Linked DNA regions of Mus musculus. The protein of the gene in region 2 purifies or fractionates together with the protein of the main gene of each other region. This does not show direct contact. Links are inferred from orthologs where the notes say so. Each region holds a gene or a part of one and is shown on either strand. Other genes may lie near its edges.

Region 1 (6,545 bases), on a different chromosome or scaffold from region 2:
GAGCTAATGCCGAAGGCCCTGGGGGTGGAAGACAGAGCTGCATGCTCCAGATTCCATATATGAAGCTGCAACTCACTTCTGCTTCTGGACTCCTCAAACTTCTGATCACAGACATTAAAACCGTCAAGGCACAAAAACTTGTCCTGTGCCAACGCCCGTTTTCTAGTTTGTTCTCCCTGATTCAGCAGCTATTGCCTCCCACTACAAAGGGAAGAATGACAATGGATCGTAAGCAAAAACATTCAAAGGCCTGGAATCCAAAATAAGCACTTAATGTTCAGAATTAAGAGCCAGGCGTGGTGGCACACGCCTTTAATCCCAGCTTTCAGAAGAAAGAGGCAGGTGGCTCTCTGAGTTTGAGGCCAGCCTGGTCTACATATCAAGTTCTAGTACAGCCAGGGCTACACAAAGAAATCTTGTCTCAAAAAAAAAAAAAAGAAAAGAAAGAAAGAAAAAGAAAAGTTCTGAGTTCTCTCTCTCTCTCTCTCTCTCTCTCTCTCTCTCTCTGTGTGTGTGTGTGTGTGTGTGTGTGTGTGTGTGTGTGTGTGTGCGTGTGTCTTTGGCTGGGTAGCCGTGGTAAGTTCTCACTAGCCCAGGTTTCACCCTGCCTCAGCCTCCTCAGTACTAGAATCATAGATAAACACCACCAAACCCACGGAGTTCGGATATTTTCCACACAGGGGTCGACTATAGAAAACACTCCCACCTGTCTATCACTTAACTACTTAAGGCCACTCAGAGCATTTCAGGAAAGAAACAACTGTTAGATTTTCACAGGGATCTGACATCAAGGAAAACCATGAAGCACACTATGGGCTATGCCAATGTTATTCAGAGGCCGTAGAATGGACCGTACTGTGGTCATCCAGAGGCCATAGAATAGACTGCCGTGATCATCCAGAGACTGTAGAATAGACTATGCCGTGATCATCCAGAGGCTCTAGAATGGACTATGCCGTGATCATCCAGAGGCTCTAGAATGGACTGTGCTGTGGTGATCCAAAGGTTCTAGAATAGACTATGCTGTGGTCATCCAGAGATTGTAGAATGGACTGTGCTGTGTGATCCAGAGGCTCTAGAAGGCACTGTTTTTCTCTGATGCTAGGCTATCCACAAGCTTATGGAGATCAAAGTATGCAGGCTCACTCATACAGGATGTCCACCCAACAACAGGGATCGTGGAAAGGACTGGAATGGGGCCGCTTCGGCTACATAACACCAAGGGCCCTGCAAAGACGTGCCTTCAACAGAACCCTTTGCTTGCTTGTTTGTTAACTGTTTTATCTTCTAAAGAGTTATTTACTTCTATTTTATGTGTTTTGCCTGGGCATATATATGCACTGTGTTGCTGATAGAGGCCAGAAGAGGACATCAGACTCCCTGGTACTGAAGTTACAGATGGTTGTGAGCCACCGTGTTGGTACTGGAATGGAACCCAGGTCCTCTGCAAGAGCAGCCAGTGCTCTTGACTGCTAGGCCATCTTTCCAGCCTCCAGCACAGTCCTTTGTAACAGTCTGGGAATGCTTTTCACAGACATGGAGGGAGATGTAAGGAACCACAGGAGGTAGACAGTGTAAGCGATTGGCTTTCTAACTTATTACTGTTGCATGCTAAGCTTGGCCTCTCTGGCTTCCAGGTTCCTTGAGTCTATACAGGGTTGGACAGTATCGAAATGCTAAGAAATGGTTTGGTTGGTTGGTGGGTTAGGTTTTTTTGTTTTGTTTTATTTTGTTTTGTTTTATTTTGTTTTTCGAGACAGGGTTTCTCTGTGTAGCCCTGGCTGTCCTGGAGCTCTCTCTGTAGACCGGGCTGGCCTCGAACTCACAGATCCACCTGCTTCTTTCTCCTGAATGCTTGGATGAAATATTTGGTCTTTGAAAGACTTAAAGAGATCTTTCACGGGGCTGGTGAGATGGCTCAGCGGGTAAGAGCACTGACTGCTCTTCTGAAGGTCCTGAGTTCAAATCCCAGCAACCACATGGTGGCTCACAACCACCCATAATGAGACCTGATGCCCTCTTCTGGCTCATCTGAAGACAGCTACAGTGTACTTATATATAATAATAAATACATCTTTAAAAAAAGAGAGAGAGATCTTTCACTAAGCACAGTAGTATATGCTTTAGTCTCAGTTCTCAGGAGAAAGAGGCAGGGGGATTTCTGTGTTTAAGGCCAGCTTGGTCTACATCCCCATTATTAGGTGGAAGGAAAGACAGGGATGAGGAAGGGAGGAAGAGCTGAAAGGAGGGGGAAAGGTCGTAAATGTGATGGTGCCCAAAACAGACTCTGACACACAGCAGCCATTCCAATCAATCTGTCTACTCATTCCTTCCCAGGCACCATGGTTTTGTAAGGTCACCAGCACCTTAGGCAGGAGCAGGCCCTAAAACTCACCTAGGTTGCAGCAATCGAGTTGTACAGAAATCTGAGCTAGTTTACATGTTTTATAGTAAAGCAATTTCACATCGAGGGTGGTGGCACAGGCTTGTGTTCTCAGGACTTGGGAGGTGGAAGCAGGAATGTATCTGAGTTCAAGGTCGGCCTTAGCTACAAGAAACTCATCCATTAAAAACAAAGCAAAATGAAATGTCATTCCTTCTTTTATTGGAAGAAAAGAATCAGGTAGGAAAGGGAGCAGAGTTTAGTGTACCTGAATACATCTGTATGAAAATTATTTTAATTAAATTAATTTTTAAAATGTTAACCAAATGCAATGACTAGTCCTGGATTACACCAGGAAACAAAAAAATCTCTAAAGTCATTAGTCAAAAACAATGGACGTTATCAGCATAATTTTCTGACTTCAACAATTCTACTGTGTAATATAAGAAAAATATTTATTTGGGGAAATTCATTATAGAAATTTTACAGGAAAATAAATTATGTCTACGAGTTCTTCATAAAAACGTTGTCAAATAGGCTCTAGTGAGCGCCCGTAAAGGAAACGGTGAGTTTCATGCTGCATTTTCCACTAGATGGAGCTGCGTGTTAAAAAAAACTTACCCTCGGCTAACTCTCTCTCCCCTCTACCCCTCACACTCTCAAAGTACACCTCAGACGGTCTCCCAGCACTCCTCGCCGGCTGCGCCGTAATCCTCCTGCCTCAGCCTCGCCAGATGTAAGAATTACAAGCCGCAACGCACAGGCAAAATTCTAAAATCTGACAGAGTAAGAAAACGAAATGTCCTCTTTAAAAGTGGTGAGGGAAAAAAAAATCGATGTGCCCTTCAAAAACGGGAAAAGGGCGTGGAGGGGTTACTAACTCTTCTAAAGCCCCCTGACCAAGAACAACACGGTTAGCTGGTCACTTAGGTCCTGGTCACCCCAGGACTGCTCGCAGCCCACAGAATGGCTTCGCAACTAAACGTCACATTTGGATTTGTTTTTTCCCACGATAATGTTTCCGGTGAGCACGCTCAAAAACTACGGCAGAAGCTGTCTGGGTGTTCTGTTTTGTTTGAGGCAGGGTCCACTACGGAGCCCTGGCTGGTCTCGAACTCACGGATGTCTCCCAGCCTCGTCCTCCCCCGCGCGGGGGCTATGGCGTGTGAGCTGCGGGTCTGCGCGCGCAGTCGCCCCCACGCAGCAGAAGGAACGAAGGCCCGGTGGCTCGCCCGGGCCGCACTCACCATGGCCGCCCTGCTCGCGCCCGGGCTGCGCAGCGCCGCCAGCCACCGCCCCGCGCTACGCGCTCCCACCGCCGCTACAGCCACCGCCGCTGCCGCCACCATGGTCCCGGGCTGCCCGGCGTGCTGCCTGACGCGGCGCAGGCACCGAAGGCCCCCGAAGGGGATGGCCGCCGCGCCCGCGGGAACTCTTTGCAGACCGAGCGCCCTCTGCGCGCCGGGCCACCGCTGCTGTGCTCAGGGCTTAAAGACCCGGCTGCCGCGACCCGGAACGCCGCGCTGAGCTCGCTCCTCTCTGCAGCTCGACCATGCTGCATGCACAAGTGCATTACCCACCCAGGACGGGTGGAGACAACTCTGTTCCCTTACATGCAGGTCCTATGTGTGTATATTGATCTTTATTATTCTTTTGTCATTTTTTTTCTTGCGATGTAACTGACAATAAAATTCATTTTAAAACCCATGCTGGGTGGGGGGGGTAGGGGCGGGGCTTAACTTAGTGCTGAGTTTTGAGTAAAATGTTGCAGCTTTTAGCTCGATTTGTATCTTTTTGGTTTTGGGTTTGTTTTTTTTTTTTTTTTTAAAGATTTATTTATTTATTATATGTAAGTACACTGTAGCTATCTTCAGACACACCAGAAGAGGGCGTCAGATCTTATGACAAATGGTTTTGAGCCAGCCACCATGTGGTTGCTGGGACTTGAACTCAGCAGTCAGTGCTCTTAACCACTGAATCATCTCTCCAGCCCCCTCATTTTGGTTTTTTTACTAGGTAACTTTGTTGTATTCCTTTCCTGAGACAGTTTCATGAAGCCAGGTAGAGTTGCAGAGGCTGGCCTGGAACATCCATCTCCACCTCCCAGAAGCTGGGGATTTTGGACGTGTCACCATGCACTATCCTGTTAGTTTTTCTAAATTAGCACATTAATATTACCAATTTGCCAGTTCTCTCCTCCCACCGTGTGGAACACAGGGATCGAACTCAGATCTTCACACTTGGTGACAAGCACCTTTATCTGCTAAGCCATCTCAGCGGCCCATGTCATCTCTTTGCTGTGTCCTAAACTAGACCAGACTCAACCTCCAGGCAAGGACAGGGTTCTTAACTTCCTTTGGATCTCAATCTAGCTGTGTGCTAGTATATGACTGGGCAATGTCTGTGCTCTAGCACAGAATTAACATGTTTTAATTAGAATTAGGAGTTTCTCCTAAAGTCTGCCATTCCCAGAAACAAGCGAAACCACTTTGAATTGTTTCAGTGACTTTATTTTTCACCTGGTCCTGTAGTAGACCTGCACTTCCCGTCCTAGCCCATACTTCCCATCTTAGCTCCTCTTCTGAGACAACACTTTCCTGTTTGACGACACTAGAAAAGAAATTCATTATGTTCAAGTATTAAAAAGCAACAACAGTCAATTCTAGTGGACATTTTTGTACCTGCTAGTTGTCATAGGAAAAACACATTTATATGAAATCTTTTCAGCTTTTCAGTAGTCCAACAAGAACATGATTCTTGAATCTGATTTCCGTTGCAAGTCCACACATTTAGCGACTGTAATGCTAAGTCCACAAAGGAGGGGCTGAGACCCCTCTTGTTCCAGTTCAGTTCTGTCTTTACTCTGCGTGTTCCTGTTCTTGTCCTGGAATCAGCCACCGAATACTCTCAGTGCGGATGGTAGCATACATAATGAAACTAATTAAAAAGAACAAGGAAAACACCAGCAACCAATCCACAGTCTTTATCAAAGTGCTGGGGAGAGGGCCCATCTGGTCAGCCTGCGTTACCACCACATTTTTCTTGGCTTCTATACCTGAAAGAGAAATTAATTGTTTCAAATCAGAAAGAAAACACATCTGAGGCTTGTCTGAAGTATGATGCACGGCATGCAAAATGACAAGCGACCCTAAAATAAACACCATCTCAAGCATATCTTGGAAGGATTTCACTTGTGTGTCAGTGTGATTTTCTTTCCTCCCACCACATCAAAGGATCGGGAATCCTTCCAGCCTTTCAAAGCTAAAACTCTAGAATTTCTGACTCCTTGGAGCTTTTCTGGTCAATGTACTCTTAAGAGTCACCTTCTGTTCTCTTAAGACCAAAGTTCAACAAAATAAAGCTACTCTCAGAAGTTCCCACAGGTTATCAAGATGCCTTTAAATGAGTTCATGGAAGACAGTTACCCACCACTGGACAGTGATCAAAGATGCCAGGCACCTAGAACTCCTCTGCAATCACCAAACACAATGGCTTTCTCTCCCAGTGGACTGGTGAATCAGGGCCCAGCATGAGGCTCAGAATTCCCAGCAACCCTAAGGCACTCAGTTACTCTGAGATAACCTGAAATAAGGAGAGTCTTTGCTCTTTGGTGTCAGAAAGAAATGAGAACACCATGCCCTGAGGAGCGTTCCAATCTGCACTCATTTCTAGTAAGTGCCCCTCAGGGGGAAGAGGGAGGCTGGAAGTCACGGCTAGACAGCTGTGAGAAAGAGGAGTTTCCCAGGAACACAGTTCTTCCACTCACCACAATCAAGCCTTTACAAGGAAGAAACAATAGGGCCATATGTTTTGGCAAACACTAAGGAATTAAAGCAACTTCTTCAAATGGATTAAAAAATGGAACTCAGCATAATAAAAATAACTAAGTCATAAGCACGCCCAACAATTCAGCTAAAGTTTATAATCACAATAGCTAGCTGCAGTGCTGCAACTAACAAAGATCCTCATGAGTTCCAGGCCAGCCAGGGCTACACAGAGAAACCCTGTCTCAAAAAACCAAACCAAAACAAAACAAAACAAAAAAAAAAAAGCCTTCCTCCCCCGGATGTTATTTCTACATACCCGTCTGATTGAAAATGAAGATTTTCAGTGTTTCCAGGGTGCGATCTGTATGGTTAAACCTTGCCATTGGTTTAGCTCC
Region 2 (6,577 bases):
CAGCCAGTGCTCTTAACTGCTAAGCCATCTCTCCAGCCCTGACTTCGTTATTTTTTTAAATGTGTGTGCTGGGGACAGAATTTATGTGTGCCAGGGACGTGCTCTACTAGTGAGCTATGTCTCTAGCCCCTTTAACGTTTCATCTTATTTCTATCTTAAAATTTAACACCGTTTGTCAAAAATAACACCCTTTCACACAAGACATTTCAAAATTTCTTGATAGCCACATGTGGTTGGTGGCACGATTGTTGGTAGCCACATATGGCCTTTGCTGAGAACGAGCACCTTACATGGAAAGGGACTTGTGGGGGAAGGGGGCGTGGTCGCCTGTCACATGCTTGGCTCTCTCACTGCATTCTTGCCCGCTGCTGGCCTGGAGGTTGTGGTCTCCTCCTTTGCCTCCCCCCCACTGCAAAACTTGACCCTGGCTCCAAAGAACCTTGAAGATTCTGGAAACTGCCGAGATTAGGGGCAGCTCTCTCCACCAGGTAAAGGACATGGGGGAAGATAAGGGCCAAGCTCCCTGGGGCCCCGCCAGGATGAGGGAAGGATGGACCTGTTCCTAATGGAAATGTGACACTTTACTTACAGTGGTTTTTTTTTGTTTTGTTTTGTTTTGTTTTTAATTTTTTTGGTTTTCCAAGACAGGGTTTCTCTGTATAGACCTGGCTGTCCTAGAACTCACTTTGTAGACCAGGCTGGCCTCCAACTCAGAAATCTGCCTGCCTCTGCATCCGGAGTGCTGGGATTAAAGGCGTGTGCCACCACGCCTGGCCAGTGTTTTTAATGAGCAATTAATTTATAATATGTAGCTCAGGCTGGCCCAGAACTCCTTGTCCATGTGATATATTTCTTTTGGTATTTTGTTTATTTGTTTTTGTTTTTGTTTCTCTTTTGTTTTGCTTTTCAAGACAGGGTATAGCCCTGGCTGTCCTGGAACTCACTCTGTAGACCAGGCTGGCCTCAAACTCAGAAATCTGCCTGCCTCTGCCTCCCAAGTGCTGGGATTAAAGGTGTGCGCCATCACCGCCTGGTGACGTATTTCTTACATGAATGAGGATCGAAAGCACATATTCACATAAAAAAGTGCATGTGGATGTTTCTAGAAGCCTTGCTCACTGCAGCTAAAACGTGGGCGGAACATAGGTAATTAGCTGTCTATGGATGCACCGGAAAGTGCCTGGTCTCCTTGCAAAAGTTCCCCACCCACCATTCACTATCGAGGGGATAAAATGAGATCTGCGCTCTGGATGGAGTGAACTTCCGGCCTCCATGACTGCCAGAGGCGGGGCTAGAGACCTGCATAGGAATGGGCTGCTCAGGAGAACAGTTTCTTTAGGATGATGAAAGTGTTTTAAATTGATCGATTGGTGCGCTGCATGCTGGGATATGCTTATGGCTGCTAACAGCTGCTGCATTTCAAAAGGCAAGAGGGCTGGGCAGGTGACAAGTCAGACTGCCTGGGTTCCACAGAGTGGAAGAGAGAGATAGCTGATTCCTGCAGTTGTTCCCCGACCTCCACACCCAAGCTGTCACACATACACACACTCTCGGGAACACACACACACACACAAAAAGATTTAAAAAATATATAAATGCTTTCATTAGGTAATACTGACAAAAGTAATACTTGAGAAAAATTAAAATGGTGTATTTGGGGCTGGGGTTCTGGCTCTTGGTAGAGCCCTTGCCTTGAGTATACAAGGCCCTGGGTTTGACCCCAGCAAGACTAAAAACTGGCTGTGGTACGGGTCTGTAATTCCAGCACTTGGGAGCTAGAGGTAGGAAAATCAGGAGTTCAAGGTCAGCCTGAACTACATCGTAAGACTGTCTCAAACAAACAAACAAACAAACAAACAAAAAACCCCAATACATATGTGTGCGTGCACAGACACAGAGAGATACACACACATACACACACACATAGATTAGATATACACACACATAAAATTAGATACACAGACACATACAAGACACAGAGACATACACAAACATAGATTAGTTATACACACACATATAGATTAGATACACAGATACACACAGACACACACACACACACAGACACACACACACAGGACACACACACACACACACGTTCTGGTTCGGATCACACAATGATAGGATGCAATACATTATAACCCAGTATCCTCAACACAGAAGTCTGAAGTGCTAAGACAACAGGGGTTTTTCCCCCCCTGGGAAGTCTGATGTTGGGCTAGGACTGAGGGTGCAGTGACCCACTCCAGGAAATGTGACCTGATTCTGCCCTGGAGAACCGGCCCAGTGGCCCAGAGCTTCCTGCTGTCCCAGCGGCCCAAAGAAACAGGCTTTTAAAGTTCTCCTGTGCCAGGCTGAAAGCATCCTGGAGAGTGGGACCCAGCGCCGCACCCAGAGGCCTCCTGGCTCCTGCTGCCTCTAGCCCTGCGCCCCTGGCCCCTCTCCACCTCCCCCACCCTCCCTTCTGCTCACTCCCAATTGCAGGCCATGACTCCCGGTCCCGGTCCCTCTCACCCGCCATGAGGCCTGCACTTGCAAGGCTGAAGTCCAAAGTTCAGTCCCTTCGCTAAGCGCACGGATAAATATGAACCTTGGAGAATTTCCCCAGCTCCAATGTAAACAGAGCAGGCAGGGGCCCTGATTCACTGGCCGCTGGGGCCAGGGTTGGGGGCTGGGGGTGCCCACAGAGCTTGACTAGTGGGATTTGGGGGGGCAGTGGGTGCAGCGAGCCCGGTCCGTTGACTGCCAGCCTGCCGGCAGGTAGACACCGGCCGTGGGTGGGGGAGGCGGCTAGCTCAGTGGCCTTGGGCCGCGTGGCCTGGTGGCAGCGGAGCCATGGTTTCTAAGCTGAGCCAGCTGCAGACGGAGCTCCTGGCTGCCCTGCTCGAGTCTGGCCTGAGCAAAGAGGCCCTGATCCAGGCCTTGGGGGAGCCAGGGCCCTACCTGATGGTTGGAGAGGGTCCCCTGGACAAGGGGGAGTCCTGCGGTGGGAGTCGAGGGGACCTGACCGAGTTGCCTAATGGCCTTGGAGAAACGCGTGGCTCTGAAGATGACACGGATGACGATGGGGAAGACTTCGCGCCACCCATTCTGAAAGAGCTGGAGAACCTCAGCCCAGAGGAGGCAGCCCACCAGAAAGCCGTGGTGGAGTCACTTCTTCAGTAAGGACCCCAACCTGTCCCCAGCACCCAGGAAGGAACTCATAGCGCCCCATTCTATGCTCCTGGCAAGCTTCACTTCCCGTCTAGGGGGCCTTAGGAGCTGTGGTCTTCAGGCTGGTGGTTAAGGGCTTCTTGCCGAACCTACCCCTCTGTTTGGCCCTACATACCCCGTATCCGTGGGCCACCTGTTTGCAGTCCGGCCTTTAGGAAACAGGGACAGGCCTGAGGTCACTTTGAAACAGAGGACAAAGGAAAGCCAGCCCCAAGAAAATGGTTGGAGAACTAGTGGGTGGTAGAAATCCTTCCCCAGTGTGGTCGTTTGTGCTCCCACAAATTCCACCTTCTTGGCTGGGGGGGGGGTCAGATCCAGGTTTGGGGCCCCAAAAGCCCCTGAGGAGGCCGGGCTGATGTTGGGCTTTTAGGGGATTTCCTGATCCGCCAGGGCCTTAAGCATCTGGCAGGGTACGCTTGGGTTTCTTACCTGGGGCAGATGGAGCTGAAGGTGGCAGTTTCCCTGCATGGCCAGGTGCTGCTTGCCCCTGACCCCAGCCTGGTCAGATAGCAGGGTTAGAGGCCTCCCCATACCAGACCCCCCTCTTCTGTTGTCTGGCTCCCCATCTCCTGGAGTGCTGAGTGGGTCCCGATTTCAATGCCTCCCCCGTCTCTCTCCTCAGCAAAGCCGTTCTGGTTACTAATTACCCACGCACGCCATTATTTCTTTTGTTTTATAAATTTATAAATAGCAAAAGGCTCTGATAAGGCCTGTGATCATTAACTTGTCGGGACGGTGGCGGGGAGATGCCCATTTGGGGGTGGAGAACGAACAGGAACACCAAAGTGAGGGAAAGGTAGCTTGGGGGCTGTGGGGAGTACTACCACCCCCAATTCCCCAAGCCTCCACAGTTTCCCTGAGATTATCGCCCGGCACGCTATTTTCTGTAGGGATTTCTGCTGTGCCTAAATCCCCATAATATAGAGATAACCGCCCCCCCAGAAGGAAGTGGTTAATAAACACGCTTTACAGTAGGGAAACTGAGGCTTAGACAGGGAAGGCGCCGTGGAGGGGCCTGAGGGCTGGCTGAGGAGTTTGGGGACAGTCTCACAAGAATACTCCAGAGGCAGCCTTTTTTCTGTCCAAGGTCCTGATTCTGACTTGGGGTGGGGGAGGGCTGGTGGATCCCGGCATTTCTGGAAGTGTCCAGAAGCCTCCCTGGGCCTTGGGCAAGGGGCAGAGGAGCAGTCAGGCCCCCTGACTTGGCAGAAAGTGGAGGGCAAAGGGCTGCCTCACCGCAGGGGAGGGGCAAAGGGCCGAGTATTGCCAGAACCAGGGCACAAGAAACCTGGATAGGGTGGAGCTGGGCCTGACCTGTCTTGGGGCCCCAGGTGGGGCTAGGGGCTTAATATGAGGCTGAGGGGCCAGGGATGCCAAGGGTCTTCTTACCTGGCTAGGTGGGACCTCTTGATCAGCAGCCCTCACGGTGGGGGCAGTGGGGGCTGGAGGGGAGCCTGGTCCAAAGCAGCTGGAACAGAGGTCAAAGTGCTCCCTGCAGGGGAACAGGCAGAATCCTGGAGGCAGAGGGGACAGGGGCGGTGAGGAGGATGAGATGGGAGAAGAGGGCTGGGGGAGTTGGGAGGGCAGAGGAGCCAGGAAAAGAGAGGGTCTCTCAGCAGCTGGGAGAAAGGGGCAGGGGAGAGAGGCTGAGCGGGGAGGAGGCTAGAGTGCTGTCCCTCCCAGGTTGCTTTTCTTTAATGCTAACAGCGAGCTATTTGCTTTCCATTTAAATTCGAGATGTTGCTATAAATTATCAACCAGCTCCTTGTTCCTGCGGAGTTTATAACTAACTACCCGGGTTACTTATTGTTCAGGTAACAAAGGGGACCTGAAAATGTCCCCAGGGACAAAAAGTGGGGCCTCTAGTTTCAGGACCAGGGGTGGGGGTGGGGGGGACCCTCTGGGGAGAGGGCTGGAGGACCCCCATGAGGGCCTGGCTAGTGGGGAAGTTGAGGCTGGAAGAGGCGGTGGGAAGGACTAACTCCCCACGGGAACTGTTGATTCCAAGGTCTACCTTTGGGAGAGGGAGAGGTGGGTCTGGGGTCTCGGATCCCACCCCCACCCCTTTTGCATCATGTGTGAGGCCACGGCAGACACCTCAGCTCTCCTCGCAGAGCTCCATCCTTTATCTAGTGTGTGACCTTGGGCAAGACCCTTTTCTCCCCCTGCACCAATGCCAGCAGGTAGACAGAGTAAAGGCAAATTCTCTATCTTAGTTCTAGTTCTGTGACTTCCCCTCCCCCCAGCTTCCCTAGTTCGATCCATCTATCGCTCCTTATCCCCTCTTTTGCGCCCTGATGCTGGCTTTGCCGGTTCTGGATGCGCACACACTTTGGTTTCCGCCTAGCATTGCCTACCTTAGTCTTTCTGCTCGGGCGGGACCCCTTTCTCACTTCCTCCTTGGCTCTTAGCTCCTTGGCTTCTGTCTCTGCATGAGGGCTGAACCCCAGCTCCCCTTTGCTGTTTCTGCCTGCTTTCTTCTGACCACTAATTGTCTCGTTACTTTATCTGTCTCTGTGTTCATTCCTTGTCCCCTGGTGTGAAAACATCTTGAGGGAAAAGTTTGTGATGTCACCACATACCAGGCATGAGTGAGCGAGAGCCTAAACTTCCCCTCGCACACCTCCTACTCCTCCCTGGGGAAGCACTTGGGACCCAGAGTCCTATCCTGGATGCCCTTGCAGGACCTTCCTATCCACCAACTGCTTAAACCCCAACCGTGCTGTTTCCTGATGCCCTCAGCCCCAGCCAAGCAGCCTCAGGGTTCTCCCAGCCAGGAACTCAGCAGCCAGGTGGCAGGCAGGATGCTTCAGCGGACAGTGGCTTGCCTTGGTTCCCACGCCAGCTTTGCAGCCAGTTAGGTGGGCACTGTCCCTGAGTCCCAGTTTCTTCTGCAGAATGGTGAAGACAGCACTCAGCCACAGGTTCAAGAGCATGGCACACAGCTAAGCAGGATCACATTTGAATGGTCCCATTTTACAAATGAGCAGAGGAAGGCTCAGTGAAGCAAAGGGACATCCTTAAGTAGTAAGACCAGACTTGGATGTGTGTGATGGCTTCATCTATGTCTGCACAGTGCTCTCGAGGTCCATGTTATCTCGGCATGTTTACTACCGCACCCCCAGACATTCTTACTGCTTGGCTTGATGGGAAATTCTTTCGCATGCCAGCCTTTGAAATTCACTGGGGCTTAAAGATGTACTGAATTCAGGTTTCCCTCTGGACAGTTTCTAAAACATACACACACATGCTTGCATGCATAAGTATATACACATGTATGCACACACACACAGGGACAATCATATACATGCATACACACACAGACACACATTCATGCACACATGCACGCACACACACACTGACACAC

What was found.
Region 1: the proteins of Hnf1a (region 2) and Pcbd2 purify together in Homo sapiens (affinity purification with mass spectrometry; 4 studies listed by BioGRID and IntAct, with this or other methods). This does not show direct contact. The link is inferred for Mus musculus from reciprocal best matches to the Homo sapiens genes HNF1A and PCBD2.

The regions. Positions count from the first base shown.
Region 1 is NC_000079.6:55,724,560-55,731,104, reverse strand, and holds the start of Pcbd2 (pterin-4-alpha-carbinolamine dehydratase 2), read right to left. Parts: upstream 3,738-6,545; 5' UTR 3,733-3,737; coding exon 3,631-3,732; intron 1-3,630. Other genes in the region: Txndc15 (thioredoxin domain-containing protein 15 precursor), read right to left, coding at 5,242-5,438, 6,467-6,545.
Region 2 is NC_000071.6:114,967,100-114,973,676, reverse strand, and holds the start of Hnf1a (hepatocyte nuclear factor 1-alpha), read left to right. Parts: upstream 1-2,614; 5' UTR 2,615-2,832; coding exon 2,833-3,158; intron 3,159-3,639; exon of another isoform or gene 3,640-4,934; intron 4,935-6,577. UniProt on the Homo sapiens protein: Transcriptional activator that regulates the tissue specific expression of multiple genes, especially in pancreatic islet cells and in liver. Binds to the inverted palindrome 5'-GTTAATNATTAAC-3'.